Linked DNA regions of Rattus norvegicus. The protein of the gene in region 3 interacts with the protein of the main gene of each other region in a pairwise test. Links are inferred from orthologs where the notes say so. Each region holds a gene or a part of one and is shown on either strand. Other genes may lie near its edges.

Region 1 (4,109 bases), on a different chromosome or scaffold from region 3:
TTTGTCCTCTACAAATTTTTCTTTAATTCCTAAGACTGGACAGGCACAAAGCACCCCACTGGGCGTGGTCCTGAACCATTTTAAGGACTTTCACGGAGTCACAGAAGACTCAGATCTGGTTGTTTGTCCCTGCAAACTAGCCATCTTTTATAGGAATGAATGGCCCACCTATGAAGTAGGATGGCCTGAGGAGGGGACTTTCCATCTCCCCATCATTGACAGGGTGAAGGTTCAGTTTATGAAGCTGGGGGCCACCCAGACCAAGTGCGATGGGCCTCGCCATTCCCCACCCTTCTTCCTCTAAAGGAAGGTCAGCCTCAGCCCCCTGGCTTGCTCCCCCTTTCTGCTCCCTGCGAGGCGGATCTCTGTCCCCCTCCTTATGTTCCTGCTCCTGCCCAGCCAGCACAGGAAGAAGGGGGTCAGCCTCTGACCCGAGCCCCCATCCTCCACATCCCAGAGAACTTCCCAGCTTCACAACAACACAACACACCCTCCAAGCAGTGCCAGTATCGTATTTATTATTTTCTTTTCCATTTGTTTGCTTTCCATGGCAAGTGAAAAAATAATTTAAACCAATTATATGTACAGAGGCTTGGCTACTCTTCCCAAGAACTGCCAGAAAGATCTCAGCCCCTTAAGTAGCAAAGAAGGGTCACCTTTAACAACCATACAAAACTCCACCTAGAAAAGTCTCATGTGTAGAAAGGTTGTAGTTATTACAAGCATCACATTTTGGGGACAGGAAGGGAAGTCAGAGTGGGAGACGGGGGACAGTGTGCAGGGTAGGGCGACACACACACCAGCCCAGGGGTCACTCTGGGTGAGGAAGCTACAGCCGAGGAGTTTCAGGTGATCTGCAGAGGGGTCTCCAACATCTCCATGAGGAAGGTGTCAATGGGGGTATCCCCAATGAGCTTGAAGAAGAAGAGGTGTTCCAGGCATTTCAATCCAATGGAGCGCAGAGCTGGGAGGCGCAGCAGAAGCTTGGCAAACCTGTAGGGAAGCCAAGGGGCATTGTTACCAGGGGATGGTAAGAAGAGACACGAGCTGTCAGTGGTGGAGAGTGTCTCATGGGTCTCCATCAAGCTTCAACAGAAACGCGGGGAAGCAGAGATAAGAGGAGTTTAAGGAGTGCAACCCTGGGAGCTTCTAGGAACGTCAGAAACCAGCTAGAGGGCTGGTTCGTGTTAAAAGAAGAACCGGGATCCCACAGCATGTTGGCAGTCTTGGAGTTTATGACATGTTCCAGAATAGCCCTCAGCACCCCCATCAATCATGGAACTGTACACTGACATTGCCTGCCTTGCCGGCCATTTCCCTGCACTCCTCGGGGTCTGCCAAGATTAGTAGTGGGGGCCTTAGGACGGGGAGTGACACATGAGGTGCGCTGTTCTCAGGACGGCTATCAGCACTAGATGAATAAAAGTGGGGACCTGCCTGTACCAGGCGTGACCATAGACACTGATTTTCCTCTCAGTCTAGCTTGTCTCTTTAGACTGTATGACCTCGGTCTGCTTTCAAAGACAAGTTTTCCGTTTCAATTAACCAGTCACCATGAAGTTCTACGACCAGCATCCGCCTCTGAGCTTCCTATTACGTTGGGATGAGGAAGGGGGAAAGACTAGTAGTTGACTTCTGAGAAGCCTGTCTGTTTCGGGAGAAAATACACTTACACTCATACGCACTGATCACACGTCCTCACACACACGGGCTGCTCCCATTAGTCTCACACATGCGCACAGTCTCTCCTTCATTCTCACCTCCTCCCTATTGCGGTTTGAGCATGGAATATATCCGGTAGGCTCATGTATATTTACGCTGGTCTCCAGCTGGTGGCGCTGTTTGGGAAGGTTGCGGAAATTTTGGGAGCTGGGGCCTCACTAAGTGAAATGAGTCACTAAGGGCAGGACTCTTTAGAGCCTGGCCCCTCTTTCATTTGCAATCTGCTTCCTGCGTGTAGTAGGATGTCACCACCTGCCTCCTGCTCCTGCACCAGGTTTCTCTGCCATGATAGACAGGGTCCCTCAGGAACCGTAAGCCAAGATAAATCCTTCTCCTCTAAGTTGCTTTTGTCAGAGCATTTTACCACAGCAACAAGAAAGACACCCCCAACATGGGCTGGCACACCTACCCCTCACTTACACATACACACTCACAAACGTGTGTGTGTGCATACACACATTTTTGCATATGCACATTCACACCCAGGCTGCCGTACATACACAGTCTCACGTGTGTGTGTGTGTGTGTGTGTGTGCGCGCGTGCGCGCGCACGCGCGTGCAAATATCCTTACTCTCACATGTAGACACACTCTAACATTTGTCCATACTTGCTATAATGGGGGTGTTCAGTATGAGTCCAGAGAAGGGAGAAGTAGCATGGGAAGAGTTGGGTGTCATTTGTATAGCCCATTATGTCCCTTGATTTGAAACATGCTTTGATTTGCATATGCAACTTCAGTTTTTCATTTTAAGAAAGTTTTGAATTGGAATGTCATTGTTCCTTGGAAATGTGCATACCTCTATATTCATGTCACATGATGTTTAAAAATACTGCATTAGGGCTGAGGAAATACCTCTGTCAGGAAACTGTTCACCACATAAGTGTAAAGACCCGAGGAAAAGACAGTAGAGTGTCTCTCGGGCTAACTAGGCAGCTGACCCTACATAGTCTATGAGTTCCAGACCAGTGAAACACCTCTATCTATCCATCTATCTGTCTGTCTATCTATCTATCTATCTATCTATCTATCTATCTATCTATCTATCTATCTCTATCTCACACACACACATGTACATACACACATGTACATACACACATAGCCAGCACTTATGAAATGACATCTGAGATTAACTTCTAGCCTCTAAATGCACATGTATGCACACCTGGACAGACAAATGCACCTATGCCAGCATACACCCAAATAAGACAAAAATTATATATATATATATGTGTGTGTGTGTGTGTGTGTGTGTGTACATATATATGTATATATATAAAATAAATTGACACCAGACAAAGAGCCTTCCCTTTAAAATGCAAAGTTAGACTGAGATTAATTCTAGCACCCTGTAAAGCTGTCAATATTACACAGTCTCTACACACATATACTGTTGGCACTGGGTTTGAGAACAAGGCCAGGGCTAAAGGAATGAACCAGTGCATCAGAAGACTCTGTCCCTGCATTCCTGGCTGGTATATCAGGATCAAGATAGTCCCTTGATAGGGACTTACTGTGTGTGCAAGATGTGTGTGGGTTCTGTACCTGGCTTTGATTTCTGCTTCTAACTTTCTCAAACTTGGGCCCTACAGGGTGTACTGCTAAGTCCTATCCACAAAGTGGCAGCACTCCACTGTGGAAAAAAATGCCGTGACTGGGCAGTGCCAGCGTGCAAGACAGACCTACACCGAGTTAGTTACCTGTCTAACTAAGCCAAGTGATTCCTCTCAGGCACGGGCCCAACCTCCTGTGAGCTCAGACAGAAAGATCACCCCTTGTCCAAGGTATGCTGGAGACAGAAGACACCACCTCCCTAAATTGGAAGAAGAAAGCTGGCTTTTCTCCCCAGCATCTAGAGCCTCAGCTGGTTGAGACCCTGTGAGTTGAGATCCTTTGCGGGGGGGGGGGGGGTCGTCACATATCAGATATTTACATTATGATTCATAACAGTAGCAAAATTACAGTTATAAAGTAGCAACAAAATAGCTTTATGGTTGGGGTCACCACAACATTTGAAACTGTATTAAAGGGTCTCAGCATTAGGAAGGTTGAGAACCACTGGTTTAGAGGTAGCCGTGTTCTTGGCAGTCTCTTCCAGGAAAAGCATCAGTTCTAAAGTTTTTAAAGTGATATTTAGAGGGACTGGAGAGAAGGCTCAGAAGTTAAGCACTGAATGCTTTTCCAGAGGACATGGGCAACACATGGCAAGTTACAACTGTCTGCTACTCTCCTTTTTTTTTTTTTTTTTTTTTGGTTCTTTTTTTCGGAGCTGGGGACCGAACCCAGGGCCTTGCGCTTCCTAGGTAAGCGCTCTACCACTGAGCTAAATCCCCAGCCCCTGTCTGCTACTCTAAGATCTGACACCCTCAGACATACAGGCAAGCAAAA
Region 2 (4,097 bases), on a different chromosome or scaffold from region 3:
TTTCAAAATGACTATGTGTGATTTTCTTTTTAGCGGGAAGTTTTCTGTCACTGCTTTCTTGAGACCCCACATCCAATTTCACCACAAAACCTCAACCCTGCTAGCACCTCGAAGTCGTTCTATGATCGTAGTTCTAGGAGCCATCATGTTTGAACCTGGTTATTTATTTATTTATTTTTTTACTGGTCTCTGCTCCACTCCTTCTCTCCAAGAACATCTTCTACGTGAATCACCAGTACCTTTAATTCATAAATCAAATGATGCCTGGTCGCTGCTAAAAGCCTATAAGACCTGAACAGTATCTTAACTCCTCACAGCCACTTTTAAGTCTCTACCTGGCTGGTCTCCCTTTTTGCCTCAATTCTCTCGGCTACGCTGTAGGCGCTGGCCTCTTGGTCTGCCCTCCTTTCCAAATAGACAGTAGAGACTTGATTTGTCTTGTTCATCATCACTATCGCCCGCGGAGGTAAAACTTTGCTGACTGTAAGTGGAACCCTGTATGTAAGGAAAAAAAAAAAAAAAGAGCCTGACGTTTCTCAGTTGTCCCCAACTCTTGAGTCTCTGATAAACATTCTGGGAACTACTGGAAGGTAGCGTTCACGAACTGCCCAGTTATGAGGACAGACCCCGAGAAAAACCCAAACCTGTCAGGTGTCAGCTCCCCGGACCGAATGCGGAGCTGGCGGAATCTGAGGAGGAAGGTGTCATCTCCGGCCGCCTACCTGTCTGAGGAATCCGCGTCGTCAAATTGCCCGGGGACCACCGTGGCCATCCTATCCAGACTGCAGTCCATGACTAGTGGGGTAAGCCCTCGGAGCCCCGCAGGCCGCGAGTGGAAGAGACGACTTTCCACCTAGAGAACCCAACCGCGTCTCCGAGATCCCGGCCTCTCAAATCCCTAGGCAACCCCCAGGCCCAAAGCAAGGACCAGGGGCCACGAGGTGCCAGGATGCCGGGTTTCAGCAAAGGCGGCCACCGACAGGCCGGAAGTTTGCAACCAGAAGTACCTCTCCATGCCCTAGTGCCCTCAGGGAACATGCGCGTTACGGTGGCCGGGAAAGACCAATCCGCGAAGTGAAGTGGGCGTGGTGCATTGTTTATGGAGTGGGATGTGTAGCACGCGTTGCTATGGTTCTTGCTCCACCACGGCGTTTCCCGTCGTAGAAAGCCAGCCTGTTATTCCCTGACTGCTCCGAAAGACTTGCGTCCTCTGACCTCCTTCATCTGGACTCCTGTGCACTCCAGAGGACGTCACACTGGGACGTTCGAGCGCTCTGCGACGCACCAGTTGGTGCCCTCGGTGGGGACGGTTGGAAGGTGTTCTCCCTCCCGCAGAGTCGGTGGGCTGGGAGGAAACCCGGAATCCTTAGCCTGAGTCACAGAAGCTCTATGGATCATGGAAGTGAGCACACTTTTGCTCTCTAGAAACGTTGGTGCGTTGTTTTAAGATGCAAATGAGACAAGTGGTTGTTTTTTTAAAGTTGGGAAATTCAAATTTCTGCGTCTGGCAGGAACTCTCGTCATACCTCTTTCTGCCTGTTTTTTAAATGTTAAAGTGTCAAGTATTATCTAGAGCGCGCGTGTGTATGCATGCGTATGAGTGAAGTTCAGAGAATAACTTGAGAGTTTACTCCTCCCACCTTGGGCTCCGGAAACCGACTCTGGTCTTCCACGCGTTTCCCTGTTAAGCCATCTCACAAGCCCTTATTATCTTAAACCGGCTTTAACTCATGCCTGGTGGTGGTGGTGGTGGTGGTGGTGCACACCTTTTTTCCTAGCACTTGGGAGGCAGAGACAGGCGAATCTTTGTGAGTTCAAGACCAGCCCGGATTAGAAAGCTTGTTCCAGGAGAGCCAGAGCTACACAGAGAAACCCTTTCTTGTAAAACAAACAAAAGTCTAAAAATCGCCAGGCACACCAAAGTGAAAGATGAAAACGAAAAAGGAAGTCTCTCTCTCTCTCTCTCTCTCTCTCTCTCACACACACACACACACACACACACACACACACAGACTACTCACAACTACTATAACTCCAATTCCAGAGGTTCCTGCACACACATACATTTTTTAAAGTGTAATTGCAAGTCACAGGCCCATGGAAAAGAAAAACATTTCGCATTTGGAAAGTGATTTAAGGCTTTCCACATGCCTGTCATCCCACAGGTAGCCTTTATTTGTAGGATGGGAAAGATGAGCCTAAGGTTGAATCCTCCAGGAGCCCCGCCTAGCTTCCTTGGCCTACTTGGTTTTTTTACACTTTACCAAGTGATGACATCGATTTGAAAACTTCAGTAAATTAAGTAATCTAACAAAGTCATCCGGGCAGACAGGTACTAAGAGTAGACTGAGACAATTTGATAATGTCACTAGAATGCCAGGTATTTTCAACCAGCGTTTAACTGTGTAGCCCCTTCTTAACTGAGGATCATGGCCCCATGATGGGGTAGGGTGGGGGAGTCATAAATTCTCCACACCCAAAACTTGATTCATAATTTAAATTGTGGGATGAATCTGACAAATGCCTGATAATGTTCACCCATGATAACCTCACACAACTTCCACTGTTCTCACCACTATACCAACCCACAGTAACAAACGGCCCGAAATATCTCTGTTCAGATTGGACACTTATATGTTCCTGTTAGGGTCCAAGAATAACTGAAGGGAGACCCCAGACTCAAAACAGTATGCAAAGGCAAACAGTGTTTACTGCAGAAATGACCAGCATTCAGGGGCCAACTATCAGAACAGCGACCACCTGAGGGGTTCGTGGACCCCTTTTATGAAGGACTAAGAGAATTTTCCAAAAGGATTAGGTTACCTCTAATGTGATTGGTAGAGGGCAAAGCAGTGACATCAGTCCAATTTTGTTTGGTTGTTAGTTTCATTGTAATTGGTGAGACCTTGAAGAATTTTAGAAACCAGCTCTGTTCTGGCCTTGTTATCTCCTCCAGCTAGGTGGCCCAGACGGATCTCCCTAAGTCAGGGCTCATCGACTAAAGGCCTGTTGTCAGTGGCTCCTAAGGAACCCAGCCTGCTGTCCAGGGAATGAAAATTTTATTCCCAAGGTTTTGGGACTTCTCATTATGAACTGCAGTGTTTTTACTGTACACTGCAGTTTTCTGGTCTTATAGAAATAATCATTTTATTACAGAAGGCAGACTTAATATTTTCCTGATTGAACTTCTTGGCATATAAATATCAAAGTAGTATATCTTTGCATGGTATTATGTCAGATAAACACATCTAATTAACATGTAAATTTGCTTTCCTATTTAACAAGTGGTAAAATTATATGCATATTAAAAGAATTGTTTTAAAATAAATCTCTATATAATTTATTATCAGTAAGTGTTTTATTTGTATTTCTACTTTATACACATGTAAACTTTACGTAGTGAGTGGGAAAAGTTTTAAAAGCCTTGAACTAATGTATCCCACTTGATGTAAAGAGAGGACTATTAATAGGAAAATCAGGCTAGAAAGATGGATAAAAGTACACACTGTTCCTACAAAGGACTGGAACTTGGTTCCCATGCCCAGGTCAGGTGGCCCCCCCTCTTCCTGTGCCTGGGGACCTGACCCCACTCGCTTCCAAGGACACCTTGAATCACAAGCACAGACATGCAAATACATACACAAAACTAAATTAATTAGAAAGCGAGGCCCAAGAAATGAGAGAACCAACATAGGACAGCACTGGCCTGTGTGCAGTTTGAAGTATTGAAAGACTATATAGACTCCTTGCCGGACGATGATAATGTGCACATGGGAACACCCTTGCAGTCAGTCGTGGTTAAGACTAAACAGTAAACAGTGTGAGTTATGACAACAATGCAAATATAACATCGCAGAGAATGTAGAGCTAGGCAGAGGTTGCCCTGGGTTTTGTCAGCTTCACGCAAACTCTTTGAGTCACCCAGGAAAAGAAAAGCTCGACTGGGGGGTGGCCTCCACCTGTGGCCATTTCTGTGGGGCATTTTCTTTATTACAGATTGTTGTTGAAGGGTCCAGCCCACTGTGGTCTGGGCCATTCCTGGGTTGGTGAGCTTGGGTGGGTTTTGTTTGTTTGTTTTTATAAAAGGTAAATGAGCA
Region 3 (3,943 bases):
TTTTAGGGGATATAATTTCAGCCAGGACGTCTAGTCAGTTGTCACATAGTATACAAAGCACACGTTTCTCTCCTGTGCATACTGCTGTTCCCTTCGGAGAATGGTGATTTTTTTTTTTTTTTTTTTTTTTAGAGTCTGACTCCTAGAAAGGAATTAGATCTGGTCGCCTTCCAAATCCTTCAGCTCTGACAGTGGCATAACATCACAGGGCCACCTCATCTTTCAGACAGCCGTGCCAACCAAGTTTTCTAAAAAGCCTTCTGTCTTCTGTCCCACCATTTCAGCGGCTTTTTCTATCCTTGCCCCGCCCCCCTTTGCATACAATTCCTAGGGTTCCAGCCCCCTCCCCGCCAGGTTTCCAAAGTAGCAGAGAAAATTGGAGTAACTTCGATTTAAAAACATTTTTTTAAAGAGCAGGTCTTTGGGAAAGGGAGAATGTGATTCAAAGGGGCGCGCAGGAGGTGGGGGTGGGGGTGCGGAAACAATTAAAGCCTTTGCCTGACTTCACCTTCTTATCCTGAACCTGTCTTAATTCATGAAGGTGAAAAAACACCAGCTGGGTTGGCCTTTTCTTTCTCAGGAACAACATAGAGGCAAAGAGGGGTGTGTGTGCGTCTGGCGCTTTGAGAGGGTTGAGGAGAGGGGAGCTTGATACCCCGCAGGAAAGCCTCAGTTCAGCTGAGTTGAGGGACCCAGGGGTCGCCCCTCTTGGTGAGATCTTAGTGCCCCTGTCGCTCCTTCTGCCCCTGCAGCGAGTTCTGCGCTTTGGAGCTGTGCCAAGACCTCTGACAGAGCCTGGCAGGTTCATGAGTGGAGGGCGGGAGCTTGGTATTCTCTTTGCAGAAGACGCCCATCTGGGGGTCTCCCCTATATTCCTGGCGCTTAGTGGCCCGCCCCCATCTCCCCGACCTCTATCATTTTAACGCTGATCACACACGATGGTGAACTTGCAGCTCTGCTTCCTGCCGCCTGCTTGACCCAGGGAGCACCAGCAGCCTGCGGGCCTCGCCCTCCGCTCTCCCTCCCCTCCTGGAAACCCCGCGGCCACGGGGCGCGGGTGGGGGGTTCGAGTGGGCCGGAACTACGGCAGGGGCGTGCAGGGCGAGGGGTCCGGGCGGGGAGCTCGCAGCAAGCGGCGCCTGGGCGGCCCAGCTTCCTGGAGCTGTGCTCCTTTGACCCCAGTGGCAGTCCCTGTCACTGCACCGCTCGCGCTCCCTTCGCTCGCCGCGCCCTGGCTGTCTCTCCTCGCCCCCTCGCTCGTTCTCTCCCCAGATCGAGGCTGCTCCGGTCCTCTCCACCTCCCCCCGCAGCGACCCCGCGTCCCGCTCGCACCGCGCCCCAGTGCTGCCCTCCCAGGCCCTGGATCAGCGGCGGGGACCTCCGGGGTCGAAGGTTCTGGCCCGCCCGAGCCCCTCGCCCCTGCCACCCCCAGCGCTGCTCCGAGCCGGCTCGGGTGGCTTGGCGATGGCTCGCCCGCACACCGGGCGCTGAAGGCATCCCGGGGACCCGGAGCGCAGCCCGGGAAAGGTAATCCGCCCGGGAAAGGGAGGCGGAGGGCGGGGGAGGGGGGAGGAGGCGGCCGGTGCCGGGCGCGAGAGGAAGGAAAAAAAAATGCACACACAAAGCGGAGCCCGGGTGAGAGGTGCCTTGTCAGAGGCGCGTGCGAGGGCGCGGGAGCTGCGGAGCGCGGCGGCCCCGCGACCCTGAGGTTGGCGGACTGAACACTAGAGGACCCGGGGAGAGCAGATTTGTTTCCCCCGAAGCCCCCGCAAGCGAGAGCGAATTTCTTTGCGTAGCTGCCCTTCTTCCCACTCCCCATCTCGCCCCCTGTTCTCCCTTCCCCCCAAGCCCTCGGCCACCGACCTCTCGGGGTCCCCGCCTCCCTGCCCCCTCCTTCTCCGGGTTTCTCAGGAAGGTGGCGGCGGGGGTGCCGGGGGAGAGGTTGTCTGCGAAAGCCCGCGGCTAAAGCCCCGGGGCAAGGGATGGGGGTGGGGCCGGGGAGTCGGAGATCTGTTTACTAGAAAGTCCCAGGGTCGTGCGCGGCAGCTGCCCCGGCCTAGGCCCGGGTGCATTGTGTTGGCCCGAGCCCCGTGCGCCCGCGGCGGCCCCGGGCCAGGTGCAGTGGCCGGACGGCTCCGTGCAGCTTTGTGCTCCGGTCGCTCGCGCGCATAGCGCTCCAGCGCGGAGCTCTCCGCCGGCCCCCGCGCCCGGACCTTACTCTCCGGTCTCGGCGACCGCTGCCTGCCGAGCGAGAGGGCTGGGAGGCGGGGTACGGCAGCGTGGAAAAGTAACCGCGGCCGCCCAGTTTCTTTTCTACCTAAGCAGTAGTTGTGAGGGGCCCCCACCGCCACCCCTATTTACATTTACATGTGGCAAGATTGTCTTTAAAAATCTTTTAAATTTCGGGCTTTTGCGGCCTAGGAGGTGTACCTAGAGGTTCGAGAGGGCATTGAAATCCCCCAGCAAGAGCACGGAAAGATGAGCCCGGGGGTTGATTTATAGCGCACCCCCAACACACCCGGAATTAAGAGTGAATGCGGGTCATGAAAAATGTCTAATTGATTTGTGATGGTAAAGACACTAACAAGTCAGGGTGGGGAAAACAAACACAACTTTAACTGGAAGGGAAAGACTTCCAAAGAGGGGGCAAGGCTGTGGCCTCCACATTCCCTCTGCAGCCCGATGGCTGGCTGGATCCCTTCCCTTCCCAGCCGTTCCCGGGGAGGTGCCTGGCAGCTCCGGGACTCAGCGAGGAGGCGGTTGTTCAGGGTGCGGACTCGGTCTCCTGCCTGTATGCTTGGAGATGCCAGGGCGCTTCGGAGGCTTCTGTCCCAGACCAGGGGTTAAGATGCGGCACCGAGGATGGCAACGACGTCAGAGCCCGTGTTTTACGGCGGTCTTCAGTCGGTGCCCCGCTGGGAGAGAGGAAGGTGGGGGAAAATGCTTAGCCAACCCTGGGGGAGTGAGTCTAGTGTCCTTAGTGCTGCCAACATCGCCGGCAGTGGCGGTGGCGGTGCCCATCGGGTACTCAGCGCCTACGGAATGAGGAGGGAGTTGTGGCCAGAACCTGGCAAGGAGAGCGGTTGACAGAGCAGGGCGTGTGTGTGTGTGTGTGTGTGTGTGTGTGTGTGTGTGTGTGTGTGTGTGTGTGTGTGTGTGTGTGTGTGTGGTGTGTGTGTGTGTGTGTGTGTGTGTGTAGTAGCTGCAGCCCCCCACCCCATCTGCCCACCCTAGATTTAAAACAAACAAACCAATCCAAAGTAGAGAATTCTGCAGCCCCCCCCCCCCGCGCCCCACCATATATAGACCCCACGCTTTGTCAGAGGCTCAGGAGAAAAGTCGTGCCCTCCTTCTCTGAAAGAATGTGCCAGCTGGGTGTCAGCAGTGCTGGAGACAAGTTCAGGTGTAAGTGTGAAGGGAAGGGAGGGAGCTTAGTGGACAGAGGCACGTGGAACTTTTTTAGCATCTCCAGAAAAATAAAGTAGCGGTACAACCACGGGGAAAGAGTGTGGGCATCGCTCCCGCATGCGGGAATGAGTAACTGGAAATGGGCATAAAAGAGTAGGGGCCTGAGTTTACAAGGTTCTCGGTCCGCGAGGCAGAGGGAGGAGAGAATGAAATTTGGCGGGGTTGCACCGGGAGCGAGCTCTAAAGTCCCTCCATCCAGTAAGTGAGGTGGCTATCTTCCTGACTCAAATGAGCACCATTATTTAAACAAGGACAGCGAAATCCAGGACTCATTTCTTCTGGGCTTGGCTTAGGCAGCGTTCGAGTACAGAGGTCAAAAATTGTCGCTTTGAAAGTTTAGGTAAATCAGACTTCTGGTGTCTAGGAGGTGCAGACAGTTATTTAAGCCTTCAGTTTTTAATCCCCTCCTTGCCAGCAGACTTTTAAGAGGTTTCCAAGTGGGTTCCTGGAAAAGAAAATTTCCAGTCCTGCAGCT

The links.
Region 1: the proteins of Mpped2 (region 3) and Rxrg interact in binary tests that used the Homo sapiens proteins (3 or more experiments, as listed by UniProt). The two-hybrid records come from large-scale screens. The link is inferred for Rattus norvegicus from reciprocal best matches to the Homo sapiens genes MPPED2 and RXRG.
Region 2: the proteins of Mpped2 (region 3) and Cage1 interact in binary tests that used the Homo sapiens proteins (3 or more experiments, as listed by UniProt). The two-hybrid records come from large-scale screens. The link is inferred for Rattus norvegicus from reciprocal best matches to the Homo sapiens genes MPPED2 and CAGE1.

The regions. Positions count from the first base shown.
Region 1 is NC_086031.1:82,314,485-82,318,593, reverse strand, and holds the end of Rxrg (retinoic acid receptor RXR-gamma), read right to left. Parts: intron 994-4,109; coding exon 846-993; 3' UTR 502-845; downstream 1-501. UniProt on the Homo sapiens protein: Receptor for retinoic acid. Retinoic acid receptors bind as heterodimers to their target response elements in response to their ligands, all-trans or 9-cis retinoic acid, and regulate gene expression in various biological processes.
Region 2 is NC_086035.1:26,994,409-26,998,505, forward strand, and holds the start of Cage1 (cancer-associated gene 1 protein homolog), read left to right. Parts: upstream 1-1,297; 5' UTR 1,298-1,433; intron 1,434-4,097. Other genes in the region: Riok1 (serine/threonine-protein kinase RIO1), read right to left, coding at 723-793.
Region 3 is NC_086021.1:113,634,472-113,638,414, forward strand, and holds the start of Mpped2 (metallophosphoesterase MPPED2), read left to right. Parts: upstream 1-1,142; 5' UTR 1,143-1,527; intron 1,528-1,626; exon of another isoform or gene 1,627-1,708; intron 1,709-1,874; exon of another isoform or gene 1,875-2,930; intron 2,931-3,324; exon of another isoform or gene 3,325-3,405; intron 3,406-3,943. UniProt on the Homo sapiens protein: Displays low metallophosphoesterase activity (in vitro). May play a role in the development of the nervous system.